Yarrowia lipolytica: one gene and its partners. The protein of the gene in region 4 interacts with the protein of the main gene of each other region in a biochemical or structural test. Links are inferred from orthologs where the notes say so. Each region holds a gene or a part of one and is shown on either strand. Other genes may lie near its edges. The genes, in order: YALI1_F03842g, YALI1_B27307g, YALI1_F34105g and YALI1_E07302g.

Region 1 (3,855 bases), on a different chromosome or scaffold from region 4:
GTGTTCACGGGAGGCTCATACTTGGGCTTCTCGTTCTTCTTGTCGTCCTTCTTCTTGTCTCCGGGGAGTGATGGTCGGTTACCCTGGGGTTAGTACTGATTGTAGTGGTCATTCGCCACCTTGCGAGAATTGGATCAAAACCGGATTTTGTGACAATCGGCGTGTCGTGGCAACCGTTTGGCCACCATCCATTGCCCTCCAAGCGCAGAAACCGCGCTATACTCACCATGATGAATGTGTTGTGTTGTATGAGTTTGTAAGTGCTGGAACCTCTCTGGCTTGGCCACTGTGGTTTTGAGTTGTGTGTTCCCTTAGGCACACACAATTCAGTGCCGGGTAACTGTGATAAGTACTGCAAGTGAGTACACGATCAGACGTGCGTACAAGTAATCAGAGTACGGATCCAGACGATTTTTCGGGTGAGGTGTGTTTGCCACCCTTTGCTACTACCACCACGTGACCCCTTTTTTTGTCGATTCATACATTATTGTGCAAAATGTCCCATGGAATGTTCTAGGCACCATGGTAGAGATGAGTAAGCATTAAGCGAGCAAGCTACTATACCAATAGAAGTTAACGCTGAGGTTATGAGACCTGGTTACTGCTACAGTACTAATAGAAGCAAATTTGTAGTGACTAACAGTCGTTACTTACCCATTACTAAATCACACCCTTCAATACATTGCAACCATGACGCCATGACGCCACATCTACAAATAAATCTACTTGTACTGTGTGCTACTCATACGCCCACTGATATCAAGACTTATGCATATAAATTAACAGCCTAGTTCAGAAGCTCCTCGACCACTCTCTGCTCGTCCTCTTGAGACTGAGGCTTCTTGATTTGCAGCTTTTTGAACACGGCGATGATCTTGTCTTTGCCAAAACCCATGCTGGCGAATCCCTCAACGGCGTCTCGATCCAGGCCAAGGCGTGCGATCTCGTCTTGATCTCCTCCAGCGTTGCCACCGGCGTACTGGGCTGTCCATTCTGCTGCAGTACGCTCAAAAGCGGCCTTGTCGGTGAGATAGATCTTGGCCACCTCAGCATCCTGGGGGTCGTTGGGCTCGGCAGATTGCAGCAGCGACTGCAGCGAGATAAGCGACGATTTGAGCGTGAAGACAGGCGACCATGCGTCCTTGAGAATGTCGAGACAGATGGCGCCGGTCTGCGACGAAATGTTGGGGTGGTAAATGCGAGTGTCAAACTTCATTCGAGGAGGCTTGAAGGGGTCTGTGTTAGTTCGGCAGCGGCAGACATGGCCACATTGTCTGTGTGGCTCTCTTTACTCACAATCATTGGGGATCTGGATATCGACCACAAAAGTGCCGCCCTGGTAGGGAGTGCCGGGAGGCCCGTGGAAGGTGCCCTTCAGATGGGAGATGTCGGCATCGTTGATGGCCTGGATGGTGATGCCGGCTTCGGAGTCGGACCGCACATCCTCCATCTCTCTGGCTACTCGTCGGGCTCGTGACATTGTCTTTGTTGTATTTCTTTTCCTGTTGATGAGGAGGAGAGAGGGAGTCTCATAATGCTGCGCCTGCGATAATAGGTCCCAACCTCAAAAGTGGTTAGGTTGCAGCGGGTGGTGTTGCGGGGCACGTGAGGTGAGACTTTGAAGCAATGCTGTGTAGTGTATGTATAAAGATGGAAGGTTGCCTGGCGCATTTGAAGGTATTTGGCGCACTTATCTCACGGCTATTGCTACATACTACAGCTCCTGTTGCTGTGCCAAAAGATGGTTGCTCAGAAGAGTCTCTCCATCGCAATTACTGTAACGGACTGTCGAAAACTTTATATGACAGATACGACGTGGGTTGAGGGAGTGAAATACAGTGAAATAAAACTGATCTAAATTAAGCACTGGAATAAAAGCCTCTCCAACTACCAGTCGCACGCACAGTAGTTGATCTCTTGAATACTCAAGTACTACTTGCTTAGATTATTGCAGAAAGTTGCTATTAACGACATACTTGATATATTACAAGCCCCATTTCCATATGATTACTTCACTAAAACTCAGCTACTACTGTGAATGTTCTGTGCTTCTGCTCATACTTGTATGCGGCGATGGGTCTGGTTCTTCGAGCTCTACTCTCAAAGCTTCGGGACCACTCAGACCTGAAACAACAGCCACTGCTCGACAAAATCCTCGACAAAATCCTTCACAGTCTTGTCTAAACTAACCCAATCATTGTCTAGCACCTTTCGGGTTTACTCATTGTCTTGCCCTTGAGATCGGGAACCTCTTTGTTTACTGTATCCCGCAAATCCTGGTTGCACAACTTGGAGACACACGGCATAAGTCGCTGGTTGTCGAGGTTCTGGGGATGGCAGACACATGAGCTCTGACCCTCGGACGTATCTTGCCCGGGTGTGGTAGACAAGTGACCCTGAATGATGGTCCCATTAGTGGTGGAGTTGGGAGACTTCGCGTCTAGAGCAATACCACTACCAAACACGTAGCCGGGGTTGACGGTGGTAAGGCCAAACGAGGGCTTCTCAGACTTTATGAATCCCCAGGCCACCTTCCCTGCATACTTCTTGGAGCCCATGTAGGATACAAAAGCGTTGTCCTTATGAGAAGCTTCTCCCCATGCCACGGGAATCCACGACTCCTCGGTTACCAAGGAGGAATAATCGTTAGCCTCGTTCTTGTTGAGCATGGCTGCGAACGATGAGGTGATTTCCACGTGGGGAGCGTAGGTATTGCTTGACGATGACGACCTTGAGAACAGTCAGAGTTCTGTTGACGGAAGGCTCAGTAGATCCTTGACGGGGTCCTCGACATTGAAAGGTGAAGGAGAGGCGGTATGGAGCACGTATTTGATGCTTTTGAAGCCGAGTCTTGAACCCTCTTCAGATCGAACGTCGGAAACCGTCTCAAAAACCAGTTGTCCGGACTTGATAGCCTCGGAGAAAGCCACAGCTAGTCGCTGACCCTTTTCTTCTGATGGGATAATTCCCATGACTTTGTGATTGGCCTGGAGGAGTTTATCGATACAGTTGCCAGCAACGAAGCCAGCAGTTTACAATAACCAGATGCTCATGAATGAGCTAGAGATACCACTCCATGCGTTTACTTTGCACATGTTGAACTGAGCGGGGCTATATGTGATCCTAACTACGGTATATCAATGGCAATTCACTCGTGTTTGCACATAATTATTGCCATGGTGGTTACTATGGCTGGATTCCTTGTGATCGTCAAATTTCATATTTTCGACTTACTGTACTGTTTAGCTACTGCTTGTACTTTAGTTAGGAGTTTGTTTATAAGGGGGAAAATCTTCACCTGGGGATCTTAGTTCAGTGCTCTAAAGACATGTCAGGGAGATGAGAGAAACATCAGGGGATATCCTGAGCCCTGTAGAAAGGAAATATGCTGTATCAAAAACAGGCTATAGTGTTAAGTCTCAGTTTCTCTCAAATCACTGCTCCAGCCTTGAGTGCAATTTATTAGGAGTATAGTTGGTTTTTGTTGGACTCTGTTACAGTTTGAAGTGTAGGGCTGAGCTGAATCATCAGCAAGGAATGATCATGTTGCGAGACGTACTCACATGTGGAAGGGCACTTCAATTCTGGGAGAATTGTGTCTTCATAGTGTATATCTATTACTCCTACTTGTGTTCTATACATAAGGATGTGACTACAGCACATGTATAATACAAAGACATCCCGACTACGTTCCTGTATCTCGTACACTTGATGCTCGACAGTGTCTCGCACCTCATTAAATAACAACTCATAATCATTAACTAATTCAACACATGACTAAATTAGTCCTTCTTGACGTAAAGGTCAACGTACTCGTCAATGTCCATGTTGACAATATCCTGGTTAGAGGCAGCG
Region 2 (3,957 bases), on a different chromosome or scaffold from region 4:
ACATGACATATAAGGGCAGCATATATGGATGCTGGTGTGGGGCGGCTAATGCACATGGAATACGGGGGAAATCTTCGTGCCCAAGTGTCAATTTCAGGGGTACATTTCAAGTACACGATTACCCGTAACTGCACCCTCCACGCGTTCCACTCAGCGTATCACAGCTCGGTATCATAGCACCATAATCTCTAACTATCGTTCAAATACACCTTATTGTAATTATCGCCACCCGAATCTGCCCAATAACATAGCGTGGCACAAGACAAGACTACATAACCCACACACACAGCAACTACCAACACAATGCTGAACATTCGTACATAGTACTCTACTTATTCATCTAATAACATTCTCAATTTTGAATTACTTTTACTTTAACAACCTCACTGGGGCGCTCAGTTGCCTCACTACAATGGTTAAAAAGGTAGCTCGGTTTAAATAAGATCGGCAATGTTGGTGGGCATCTCAACGATCTCAGTGGAGTAGAATCGCTCGAGCTCCTTGAGCATACCGTGGTCCTCGGAGGTGACGAAGTTGATGGCAACACCCTTTCGGCCGAATCGTCCACCTCGACCAATTCGATGGATGTAGTTCTCTCGGTTGGAGGGCAGGTCGAAGTTGATGACCAGAGAAACCTGCTGGACATCGATACCTCGGGCAAGCAGATCGGTAGTGATGAGGATTCGAGAAGAACCGGTTCGGAAAGCCTTCATAATGACATCTCGCTGAGACTGCTCGGTCTCACCGTGCATGGAGGAGACGGTGAAGTCAGCCTCGGTCAGAGCCTGGGTCAGGTAGTCGACCTTTCGTCGGGTGTTGCAGAAAATGACGGCCTGAGAAACGTTGATGGTCTCGTAGAGATCGCACAGAACCTCAAACTTGTAGGACTCCTGCTCAACATCAATGTAGAACTGCTTGATACCTTCAAGGGTCAGCTCATCCTTCTTGACAAGAATTCGGACGGGGTCTCGCATGAACTTGCCGGTGATGTCGAGGACCTCAGCGGGCATGGTGGCAGACAGCAGAACGGTCTGGGTGGTCTCGGGGAGGGTGGTGAAGATATCGTAGATGGGGTCCTTGAACTCTCGAGAAAGCATCTCATCGGCCTCATCAAGGATGAACATCTTGATGAGGTCGGTCTTGAGGATTCGTCGCTCAATCATATCGTGGATTCGACCGGGGGTTCCGACAATGACGTGGACACCCTCCTGGATGACTCGGATGTCCTCGGCGACGGAGGTACCACCAATGCAGGCGTGGCACTCAATCTTCATGTACTCGCCAAAGGCAAGGACAACCTTCTGGATCTGGTGGGCCAGCTCTCGAGTGGGGGCAATGATCAGAGCCTGGGGCTTCTTAATCTTCTCGTCAATGTTCTGCAGAGCAGAGATAGAGAAGGTGGCAGTCTTACCAGTACCAGACTGGGCCTGGGCAAGGACATCGTTACCCTTGATGACGGGCAGGATGGCTCGCTGCTGAATGGAGGAAGGGTTCTCAAAACCGTAACCGTAGATACCTCGGAGCAGCTCGTCCTTGAGTCCAAGGTCGTCGAAAGAGGTAACAACCTCGTCGTAGTTGGTGGTGATCTGGGAAGAATCGATGTCGGTGAGTCCGTCGGCCATTTTGTTTTCAATTGGTGTTTTTTATCAAATATACCTTGTTGCACAAATGTATATGTGTTCAAGAGTTGAAGACCCAAAACTGAAATACCTAATAAAAATTTTTCCACACGGCCTACCCTAGCCCTATATATGCGAACTTTGAGCGAAACTCACTAATCGGCATATGGGCCACGAACGCCCCTCGTCGCCCCAACGTAATTATATGGCCCTTTTTGACCGGTTAAATGCGGCATTGTGGTGCGTACTATGGCTTATGTGTGTCCCAAACTGCCGGGCCACGTCAAATTACAACGATCCCCCACTCAATTGTACCAATCAAAGGCATGCTTTTTTTTTTGCCCATTGATCACAGCCAACAGAGTTATGCAGCAAAAAGGTGGGTGTTCTTGCAAGGAGCAAAAGAAGGAAAAAGTCACGTGTGAAACCCACCTTTCAAGTACTTATCCTCAACTCAACGTATTGTAGCAAGGGGTTGGCACTGGCATTAAGCGAGTGGCACAGTTATGGCAGGATTGTAATATTACGATGAGCACAGATTTATGGAGCGGGGTAGCCACATGCATAGAAAGGAAGCCTCAAAATTATTGAAGCGGTCAACCATAGACAAACACCAGCATGTAAGCACAAGTATCGCGCTTGTACCAGTATTCACAAGTAATCGCTTCCTCTAAGGCTGAACAGGGGCAATAGGGTTATCATGATCTATGACTACGAGCATGCTTTGGGTGTGCGCCGGAAATCAAATGAGAACAGGGGGGAAAAATCGGAAATGGAATACTGGACACTATGGACGTCACATGACTCAAATAAGGCTAATCCGAAGTGAAATCGATTGTTCAATTGGGCAATATTCGGGTGCATTGATACTAGCTGACTAAGCCGCCAAGTACACGCGACAACATTAAGCACGCATCCCCAGATCAATCAACGTCTCACCAGCACACACAACCAAAAATACCATACACCATGTCGGGCAAGCGACCATCTGTGGCCCAGAAGCGGCTCATGAAGGAGTACAAGCAGTTCATTAGTGATCCTCCCCAGGGAATCAGTGCAGGTCCTGCTGACGAAGAGTGAGTGAAGTGGGGAGACACAATCACATTCAGGCTGACATGGTGTGTTTCATGCGGTGTCCGGAAAGACGATAATATTGTTACGGTCCATTTTCGGGGCCAAACAAACATCGACTTCATCCAGTCAGTTTGATTACACATTTGTCCAGTAATATGTCATGCTGTTTCCTTGTGCTTATGATACCCGGTTACAATCCACAATCATGCCACAACTCCACTAACACAGTAACTTTCTACTCTGGGAATGTCTGATACAGGGACCAGATGATACTCCGTACGAGGGTGGCCTGTTCCCCGCAACACTCAAATTCCCCCAGGATTACCCCCTGTCCCCTCCAGTGATGAAGTTCACCTGCGAAATGTACCACCCCAACATTTACAAGGACGGAACCGTGTGTATTTCCATTTTGCATGCTCCTGGTGACGATCCCAACATGTATGAGAGCGCTTCGGAACGGTGGTCGCCCATCCAGTCGGTAGACAAGATTCTGCTGTCGGTGATGAGCATGCTAGCCGAGCCCAACGACGAGTCAGGGGCCAACATTGACGCCAGCAAAATGTGGCGAGACGACCAGGAACAGTTTGTCAAGATTGTCCGAGGAACTGTTCGAAAGGCCTTGGGATTATAGGTAGTGCATGGGACGTTACTAGAGGTTGAGTGCGTCAAGGAGTGATATTATCGAGTACAATAGATTAACGAGTTTGATGGTGTTGTAAACAGAGGTGACTACTATAAAAGAGTAGCTGAAAACCAGCAGTGTCAACTGAAAGTGGTGCAGTTGCGGTTAATTGTTTGGAAGCATTTGCATGTCTGCCTGAGCTCACTTCAATGATCTACAAGTACAGTAGCTACTTGTACTCGCTCAAGTATGTGATTACGATGAAAGAAGTGATACGCCGACTCCAGCCTTACAGTAATGTGCAATACTGTGCTCATTCTACTGCCGTTAGGCACAAGGTCCATGAGTCAACAACACATCAACTACCAAGCACATTCACACACACAACTCTATCAATCATACAATCTATTAAATATCCTTTTATGTGCTTAAACAGAAGTGGTCTTGAGGGTGTCAGTAACCTCCTCAGTCTCCTTATCCTCAGCGGTCTCCTCCTTTGCCTCGTCAGCCTCGTCAGTCTCGTTAGCCTCGTCAGCCTCATCCTCATATCGAATCTTGATGTTCTCATCCTCCTTGGGTGCATAATCATAGTTCTCCAGCAGGTAGTCAATGACATCCTCCTTGTCAAAGTTCTCGGCGGCG
Region 3 (3,296 bases), on a different chromosome or scaffold from region 4:
TGAAGACAATTTGTTGACTAACAGCGAACCTTGGAAGTACACAGTGAGACAAGCATCCAACTACAGTTACCAGTAGCTATTGTACTTGCAGCTAACAGATGTTTAACTGAGGTAAAAATATATATCCCTCGTACCCCATTCAGTTTTCCAAAGGATAGAACATGCGCAGGAACTGCGGAACCATGTTGACCAAAATACCGCTTTCAATATAGCCACACGCGGCCCCCTTTCATTGTACAAGTAGTTTAATCCATTTAGCATCTCCGACGGGCTATAAGTCAGATGTATGAGGTGAAGTAGCGATGAGTATGTACTTGTACGGTACTGGTAGTTTGATAAGCTTCGTATTCAGCGGAATTACTGACGTTAATGACATGTCGGATTTACTACACCGGTCAAACGAAAAACAGCGACTTAGAATATCTCCTGATCCAGGTGGTTCACGTAAGCACGGTACTCTTCTTACAGCCTATTCCGGAAGGTTTGATTAGATATATGAACTGGTCTAGAACCAAACATCCCCATCAACGTCCATTGTCTAGTGGCTCAAACTGCATGATGGTGGCAGACGCCCTAATCTCTTCCTCATCTTTTCCTCCTCTTAATGCAACCGATGCGTGTCCCGCTAACGGGCCCCTCCCTCGTTCCCAGTAAAATGGTATCTCTAGTTCGTCTCTTATCCGCTCTAGTCGGTCCAGCTGGCCTCCACTGTGTCCCGCACCCGTTTTTCGTACTGCTGACGGTGATCCTTGTACAGCATAGACGCCTCCACGTTGGCAGGACTGGACGTATTGGGGTCGTTCAGCAGCGACTGCACCGAGGTCAGAATCGCTGCCACGTCATAGGTGGGCGACCATCGGTTTTGCAGAATGTCCAGACATAGCTCGCCAGATGAGTAGACGTTGGGGTGGAACATCTGCGAAACAAACTTGACGGCTGGCGGTTTGTTGGGGTACTGCTCGTCAAACTGCAGCACCATGCGGAAAGTGCCATCTTCAAACGGGGTCTCCGCCGGTCCGATGATCACGGCGTTCCATGTCAGCACGTTATCAGCCACAGGAGATGCACTGACTCCCTGGGGAGGATCCTGTTGCATGCGCTTGAAGTCTCGCATGAGACGTCTTCGAGCTGTAGTGGACATGGCTGTGGCTTGGTTTTTATTTTCTTTCTTCGGTTACCTGTCGTTACTTAACCGTGTGCGGCGTGGGGTGACGTGTGTTGTTGTTTGGTTGTTTCAGGTGGTGATGTAATGAGTTGTATGGCGCGCGCCAGTCTGGCTATCCAGACTTTGCATGTTGGGAAGAAGACAACCACTTTTATATAACGGAGTTAGGGTTGCAGAGAGGATGACAAATGTGGGTGGCGTAAAAGCCGGAATCACGGATGCCTTATATGCAATAGGGCAGGAGCCACCATACCCAGTATGTTACGGTGGCGATTTTTTGCGGGCTGTGCAACGTGTCACGTGACCAAGAAGTCTTCGATATGTACTAGTGCAACAGCAGTTCGGGCAACAAGCTAAAAACGAAAACAAGACTTCGGCTATATACAGACTATTTTTTGGAGGCAGAGTCGCTCTCCTCGGAGAACTCAATGTACTGGTTGGCGGCAGTGTAGAATGCGAATCCGACAGCCATCCACAAGATGGATCGGGTAAGCAATCGCATGCCCCGATCAGGATCCTGGTTAGGCTCTCGCGGTCCCCAGGGTCCAAAGTAGATGTAGTAAGCTGGGTTAGTTTATGGGCTCGTTTGTGGAATAATCAACCGGGGTAACGGTTGGGGCCCGCTCCGGGTTTGTGTCTCCTAGTATCTCACTCCTATACTCATACCCTTAGTGTCTGTTCTCCCCTTCCATACTCACCAGCTTGCTTCTCCTCAGGAGTCATAATCTTCCAGTCTCCACGCATCTGATCCTCCAGGTAATCGACGACATCCTGCTGCTCGTCGGTGGCCATCTTGGGCCATCGTTTGGGAATGTTCAAAGTGGAGGGCTTGATGGGGTTCTTGACCTTGTAGTTGTTGCCGCCAATGTGGAAAAAACCGTCATCGTAGGGGTCATCGTTGCCAAAGGCAGTCTGAAGGGGCGACTCTCGCTTCTTGAGCACCCGCTGAGACGTGCAGAAAAGACGCCGTGATTGTCTGAGCATTGTGTCCTGGTGTCGAGTTGATCTCGTGGAGATCTGCGAAGTATTGGGTAGGGTTAGGGTAATTGAGGAGGTGTAATGTTGGCGGTAGTGAGAGTGAGTAAAGCTGTGGGATTCTCAGATAGATATACGCTCGCGTTGTTTATTATCATTTCCCAGTTCGACACATACTATAATATTCTCCTACCACTGTACATTGTTGTCTACTCTACCTCCTCCGTAGCCTGTTCGGCCCTTCACCTACTGTAAATCTATCAATGTATAAATTATTTGCTTATTCGTCGCTCATAGGAACATCGTCCTTGCCTTCCGAATTCGTTTCCTTCTTGGGAGTCTCCTCTTTAGTCTCATTATCCTCTCCAGTTCTGGGGGAATCCTTCACAAGTTGAGGAACTTCATCAGTCTCTCCACCCTCATTGGATTCTCCCCCCTCACCATCTTTTCTCTTGGCACGCTTTCGTCGCACCTTTTTGACTGACTGGGAATCATCTTCCTTCTCCTCAGGTCGCTCTCGCTTACCCTGATCCTCCTTAGATACCTTCTTCTTCTTGACTGACAGAGGGTTAGGCGCCTTTGGACCCTTTCGCTTCTTGGCCTGCTCTTCATCTCCCTCAGGTGCCTTTCGCTTTACGGCATTGAGACCGGATGTGAGCTTGGACGCCTCAATCAGCTGACGAGCACGCTCAGAAGCAGGGGAAAAGGGCTCCAGCAGCATGATGGCTCGGTTCATATGAATGAGAGGGACTCCAGGAATGGACCGAAGTCGACCTCGCAAACTAGGATCTTGTGTAGCAACAACGTATCTGTGGACATTGGAGCCGTCGACAACAACCGATTTGTAAATGGCCTCGCTGGGATGCATCTTCCGGGCAGCGTTGGAACCATTGTACTTCAGCTTTTTCTCCTGGGTCTCAGTGCTATTTTCGAAATGCAGGGTTCGTCGACGCTCAAAGGTCTTGCCTAGCTGAATGGCCTCCTCGTTGTTGCTCTCAAACAGCTTGTTCAGACTGTGTTGCGTTATCATGGGCTTGACCTCCTTGGTCTGAAGCGTTCTTTGGAGACCCTTCAGCAAATCGTACTTGTGCTCGACACATTCAATGATGAGGTCGTGGTCCACCAGAACCTGGTAGGGCTCTCGGAACTTGAAGTT
Region 4 (5,883 bases):
ATAGTGTGGAGTGAGGGTTAGCTGTGCCAACAAACCGTTGTGTCAGTTGTCTGTGTACGAATGCGATAGGAATACTGTACCAATACATACTGTACCGGTACGAGTAGTTGTATCGTTTTACTGTGTCTCACCAAGAAATAATCCCTACTTATATACGATACTCCACAGAACCACTGCAACCCCAAAAATCACACCTCAACTCATCTCAAACAGACGCATTCGGTGTCGTCTCAGGAGTCGTCTCTATACCCCCTTGTGTCATTGTCATGCTGTCGCTAACATCCAGACTAATGCATTCGTAGCACTAAATTACACGCACTATACGCTGGTGAATACGTGCCTATGTAGAGGGAGTAGAACGTGTCGCACGTTTATACAGGCCTCCATCAGAAGGAGTTTCTTCTCCATTGGTGCAGCCTGAAAACACGCTCTATCTCATTTTTACTTCATGCTATAGTAAACATTTCATCTATTCACAGTAGAAACGAAACTGCCTTTATAATCAGAGACAGTAACGGCCTGACCAACTTTCAATTCAAACTTGGCATTGTCCTTGTTTGACCTCTCTGTCACGTTCTACGAAAGACTACAGTATTGCACCGCTTGTTTTTGCACAACCGTACTTATCATACTCTGCTGATCCACCGAGTCATTGGTAGTACTGCTTCCATACAGCTCATCTACTCATTAATTATATAGTCTAACACCTCTAACGATCGCCAAAGAGCTCTCTAAAGATGGAGACAAACATAGGGGATATCGTCGACATCCTCACCGTCCTGGTCCTCGGCACAAACCTCAAAGATCAGAGTCTTAACGTGAGGCTCGAGCTTCTTCTTAGTGACGGCCTCCACCAGCTCGGTCAGAGTCAAATCGTACTTCTCGTTGAGCTTGGCAGGAGGGAAGAAGGAGGCGTACAGGAGAGACACGTTCTGGGACAGCATGGTCACCGTCAGGTTGTAGTTCTTCTCAAAGAACTCCAAAAACTGCTTGAGAGTCAAGTTCTCGTGAATGTCGTATCGACCCCAGATCTTGTCCAGCTCGACACCAGCAATCTCCATCTTCTGCGAAGCAATGGGCTCAGAGAAGCCCAGAAAAGGCAGAGCGAGATTGACAAAGCCGTTCTTGTAGTCCTCGATCACCTCTCGCTTGTCCACCACCTTGTAGAGCTCCAGACAGACAAGACCAGTCACCAGAGCAGTGGTGGTAGCAATAGCGGGAATGATTCGTCCAGCAATGAACTTGGTCTTGTGTCGATCAGCGCCGTCAATAGCGTAGTTCTGAGCTCGACAGTTGGAGGCAGCCGTGATGAACTGGATGTGGAAGTTGGTGTCATCGTCCTTCTCAAACTCAACGGGAGTGAGTCGGAAACCAGCCAGAGAAGAAGGAGGAGGCAGCGAGTTGGCCAGCTGGGTCAGCTCCTCGGAGTCGGCATCCACAGGGTCGACGCTCTCGTTCTCGTTGGCCTGGATCTTAATACCGGACTTGGGTTCAAACTTGGGCACAGTCATGTTGTCCACAACTTCCTTGTACTCAGAAACATCAAGGTCATCACCTCGGATACCGTAGTTGAAGGCTCGCAGATTAGCGCCAGCAATGAGAAAATCCAGATGGTCCTGGTTGTTGAAATCAAATTCGAGAGCGTCAGGAGCTCGCTTAGGTCCAGACCAGAAAGGAGCACCAGTAGAAGTGGTGGCGTCCTTGGGGAAGTTGTACAGAAGCTGACTAATGTCGCCGTTGAACTTCTTCTCAAACTCCAGACGGGCCCACTGGACACACTCCTTGAAAGTCGTAGGTCGTTCGTCCACCAGGTACGACTTGATGTTCTCCAGAATAGACTTCTGGTCACCAGTCTGCTTGAGGGTGGACTCCACAAAATTGGGCTGGCTCAGAAACAGATTCACAGACTCAACATTGTCGGTAAAGTAGCCCTGGAAGATGGATTTGGCCCAGGCAATCGTGTGGTCAACCTTATTAGGGAAAGATCGCAGAGTACAGAGGGGAATGCCCTTCTCAGGGGGATCCTGGGAGGAAGAGTACGATTCAGTCAGGTTGGGGTAGACAACCTGCACGTTACCCTTGGTTCCCAGGGTTCCTGACTCGAGCAGAGGCTTCTGGAAAAAGACACATCGTCGATCGACGTAGGTTCGGGCGTCAACGTTGTCCAGAGCGTTAGTCACAAAGTCCAGAGACTTCCAGAACGAGTCGTCGAAGATGTTCTCGGTATCGGGACCGACCTTGTCGAGCTTGGCATCAAAGTGGCCCTTGAGATCAGGGTTCATCTCTGCCACAGCCTCGGTAGCGGTCACGGACTTGTGTTTGCCCACATCCTTGGGTCGGAACAGAAACTGTCGGTTAAGGTTGGACTTCTCAATCACGTCGTTATCGGTCACGTGGATCTCTCCGTCCTTTCCAAGACCCATGAGAGCCCAGTTCTTAAGCATCTCGCAACCGATGGCTCCAGAGCCAACCAGGAAAGTCTTAACAGCAAAAATCTTCTCGGTGAACTCCTTACCAAAGACGGCAACCTGTCGGTCATATCGCGAGCCGGTGGGAGCCACAGACTGCTCAGTTAGAGCCACGTCCTTGGGCAGAGACTCCAAAGAGTCGAAGTAGACCCACTGTCGGATGGGGCCAAACTTGCCCGAGCAGCCCTTCAGTACCTCCTGGGCAGCCATTCCACCAAAGAGAGCAGTCATGGCGGGCAGTTCACCAGCGGCCTGGAAAGACAGCTGGGTGAGCAGCTTTTCGTCGATTTCGCCTCCAGAAAGCACGTCGGGGTACTCTGCAGTGACGCTCTTGGCCAGGTGCAGCACCTCGTTGGCGTCCTCGGTATTCTGAGGTCGGGGGGCTCGACCGTGCTTCTGCTGGAACGCCTGGACGGCCATGAAGCCGACATGTAGCTGTGCGGGTCGCTCCATCTTGGCGAAGTCGGAAATCAGTAACTCGGGCTTGGCCAGCTGCTCCTTGAGCGAACCAAACGAAATCTCCTGGGGCATCTTGACCTGGGTGAAAAGACCTCCCTTCTTGTAGGTGCCCAGACCGTCAACAGAACCAATATTGAACGAATAAGGACCTGTGACCTTGATCTTTCGGGGAGTGTCACCGTTGATATCGAGACCCTCGACCTCAGTGAACTTAACATAATCTCCATCCTCAAGGTTGTGTCGAGTCTCATCGAGAGCAGCAACGTTACCCTCCTCGTCAATACCGGCAATGATTCCGGAATGGGGCTCCTCTCCGTTGGCGTCAATCAGAGCAAAAGATGAGCCAAAATCGACAAAGATGTTACCGAAAAGACCTCGGGTGTCTGTGCTGACAAACCCAATATTCTGCTTGTGTGTGATTTCGTTGACTCGAATCTGTTCTTCTAGAGAAGCATTGGTCAGCACAACCACCTGGAATCGAGCCACCTCCTCCTCGGAGAGATCCTTGGCCTCCAAAACGTGCACAGGAACGTACGAATTGAGCTCTGCCAGTCGAGGCTGAGACACCTGGTCTCGTCGCTTGCCCACGTCGTCCTCTCGCAGGAAAAACTGGGCACTGAGATCTGCAACCTCGGTCTTGCCGGGGTCATACAGAGTCAGCGACTTGACTCCAGCCAGAACAATGTTCTTGGCAATCTCAATTCCCAGACCCTGGAGACCCACGATAAGAACGTTGGAGTTGGCCATCTTCTTCATGGCCTCGTGTCCAAGCACATAGAGCTGTCGCGAGTACAGGGACTCATCAATTTCGCCTGCGTTGTCGATTTGCATCTTGTCTGACTTGTCTGACATTGCAAAAGTGGTAGTTGTGTAAGTGTAGATTGAACTGTGGCAAGGAATCGTGTGGAACTAAGTGTCGTCAACCTTGATGTTGGGTTAGGGTAAACGGAGATAATGTGGAGCAATGAATAATTGAGGACATTATATATAGAGAAAGGGAGGTTTGGGTTTAAGGTTGAGTCATAAGGGCCTTTTAGTTGCTTACCAATTGATTTGCTATCTTCGTTTGCTACATGTTTGTCGTATTAGAAGTCTTTAGTCAGCACCACCACGCTGTATCAAAATCAGGTCACCCGCAGCTTACGTAATTAGCTATCTACCAAATAAACTTCGCTCCCAACGCTAACCACGCCTGCACCAACATCGTGCAGAAATTTATTTGTGAGTTTCACTATCAACCACACAACACTATGACTGACCGAAGACGAGTTTTGGGGCCTGCTGACGCGGTGCCATTCACCCTGGACAACATCAAGCCGACCGAGGTTGAGCAGAAAAGCCTGGATATCGGCAGCATCTTCGTCAAGACCGGAGTGGTCGAAAACGCAAACGGATCGGCCTACTTGGAGCTGGATGATATCAAAATTGTGGCCATTGTCCATGGTCCTCGACCTATGAGAGGTCTGTTCACAACATCGGCCATCCTGAACGTGGACACAAAATTTCTCCCTGTCTCTCTCTGCGATATTGAGAGTAAGAGTGCTGTGGTTAGCTCCACCCAGCTGACCCAATACATTCGATCTGCCAGCACCACACAGAGCTCTTCTCTGCAGAAGAACGTTTCATCGTACGTCCACACCTCTCTCCTGCCCAGCATATTGGTCGAGAAGTACCCCAAGTCCACCATCGATGTCAGCATATCAGTTCTGTCTTCTTCCAATAATACCAAGACCACCGTGGCTGCCGCAGTTTCGTGCGCTGGCGCCGCTCTGGCCGATTCCGGTCTCGAGTGCACCGATATTGTGACAGCAGGAAGTGTGCTGCTCGATGAGAACAAGGCAACTGTGTCGCCCTCAAGAGCACCTACCAGCGAGATTGACGGAGTAGTATCCTACATGGCAGCAAGCAAGAAGATTGTGGGCATGTGGATTGAAGGCGGTAACGTGAGCGAGAAGCAGATGGAGGAGATTTTCGACAAGACCGAGGAGATGGCCCGGGAGATCAGAGGAGTCATGCATGGAGTTTTGTTGGAGCAATAAGGAATGACTGGAATGAGTCTGTGAGCATGCGTGGAAAACTTAGTGGCACAACATACTGAGGGTGTCATAAGTATCCTCACCGATAGAATGGTTCACCGACCACGTGAATGGAGGAGTGCACAGAGTCATACAGCAGCTAGGGTGCTTGATGTCGCGTTTAAAACACAACCAACCAAACTACGGGTACATAATATTACATAGATAACGCATTGAACATTACATGTTACGTAGTTGTAAGTGTCAATTGCGGTCAATCAATGTACTGTCATCACCATTCTATCTACTATAGACCCCTACGTCAAGGTCTGTAGCCCGTGGCCCAGAATTACACGTCACTCGCAACTCTGGTTTGTGCTCTTCACTTGATCCGATATTTGTTGACACACACACACACACACACACACGTTCTTCCAGATATGCTCTCTGCAAACAATTTTCAATCTATTCATACATATTCATTCTCCTCCTTTATACAGTAAGACCTTTAAGGGCGTCTCTAATTCTGAGCAGTCGCTCAGCCAAATTCTCCACAGACTCATCCGATTGAAGCACCTCCTGCGCCAGCTCAACGTTGAAATACGCCTGAACGGCAGCCTGCACTCTGTTGATCACCTTGGGTTCCTCAAGAGCCCAGTAGTCGTCCACTTCCTCAGGAGGGAACTCCATAGATAGAGAGAAGCATCGCTGGACGATGGGGAGGATCTCAAGAGCCAGAGTCTTTGCATCCACCTCTCCAGATAGATCAATCTTAGGAGCCACAATCTCGAAAGGTTCCGAGGTGCTGAGCACAGTGTGCTTGCCAGCATGGTGGTATCTGAACTCGTAGACTCCACACTCCCAGAAGAGTGTGTCCCCTCGGAAAACAACTTCTCCATTGGTCTTAGAAGACGACACAATACCGTCGAGATGCGACTCAT

The links.
Region 1: of the proteins of YALI1_E07302g (region 4) and YALI1_F03842g, one has a biochemical effect on the other in vitro, tested with the Schizosaccharomyces pombe proteins (2 studies listed by BioGRID). The link is inferred for Yarrowia lipolytica from reciprocal best matches to the Schizosaccharomyces pombe genes uba1 and ubc1.
Region 2: of the proteins of YALI1_E07302g (region 4) and YALI1_B27307g, one has a biochemical effect on the other in vitro, tested with the Schizosaccharomyces pombe proteins (2 studies listed by BioGRID, with this or other methods). The link is inferred for Yarrowia lipolytica from reciprocal best matches to the Schizosaccharomyces pombe genes uba1 and ubc7.
Region 3: of the proteins of YALI1_E07302g (region 4) and YALI1_F34105g, one has a biochemical effect on the other in vitro, tested with the Schizosaccharomyces pombe proteins (2 studies listed by BioGRID). The link is inferred for Yarrowia lipolytica from reciprocal best matches to the Schizosaccharomyces pombe genes uba1 and rhp6.

What each region holds. Positions count from the first base shown.
Region 1 is NC_090775.1:381,884-385,738, reverse strand, and holds YALI1_F03842g (uncharacterized protein), read right to left. Parts: upstream 1,481-3,855; coding exon 1,297-1,480; intron 1,237-1,296; coding exon 788-1,236; downstream 1-787. Other genes in the region: YALI1_F03855g (uncharacterized protein), read right to left, coding at 1-83, 227-229; YALI1_F03830g (uncharacterized protein), read right to left, coding at 2,202-2,669; YALI1_F03803g (uncharacterized protein), read right to left, coding at 3,783-3,855. UniProt on the Schizosaccharomyces pombe protein: Catalyzes the covalent attachment of ubiquitin to other proteins. Functions in degradation of misfolded or regulated proteins localized in the endoplasmic reticulum (ER) lumen or membrane via the ubiquitin-proteasome system.
Region 2 is NC_090771.1:2,729,735-2,733,691, reverse strand, and holds YALI1_B27307g (uncharacterized protein), read left to right. Parts: upstream 1-2,588; coding exon 2,589-2,695; intron 2,696-2,921; coding exon 2,922-3,324; downstream 3,325-3,957. Other genes in the region: YALI1_B27320g (uncharacterized protein), read right to left, coding at 435-1,622; YALI1_B27293g (uncharacterized protein), read right to left, coding at 3,744-3,957. UniProt on the Schizosaccharomyces pombe protein: Catalyzes the covalent attachment of ubiquitin to other proteins. Functions in degradation of misfolded or regulated proteins localized in the endoplasmic reticulum (ER) lumen or membrane via the ubiquitin-proteasome system.
Region 3 is NC_090775.1:3,408,376-3,411,671, reverse strand, and holds YALI1_F34105g (uncharacterized protein), read right to left. Parts: upstream 1,142-3,296; coding exon 686-1,141; downstream 1-685. Other genes in the region: YALI1_F34095g (uncharacterized protein), read right to left, coding at 1,554-1,729, 1,864-2,149; YALI1_F34083g (uncharacterized protein), read right to left, coding at 2,421-3,296.
Region 4 is NC_090774.1:726,483-732,365, forward strand, and holds YALI1_E07302g (uncharacterized protein), read right to left. Parts: upstream 3,780-5,883; coding exon 732-3,779; downstream 1-731. Other genes in the region: YALI1_E07306g (uncharacterized protein), read left to right, coding at 4,178-4,966; YALI1_E07347g (uncharacterized protein), read right to left, coding at 5,435-5,883.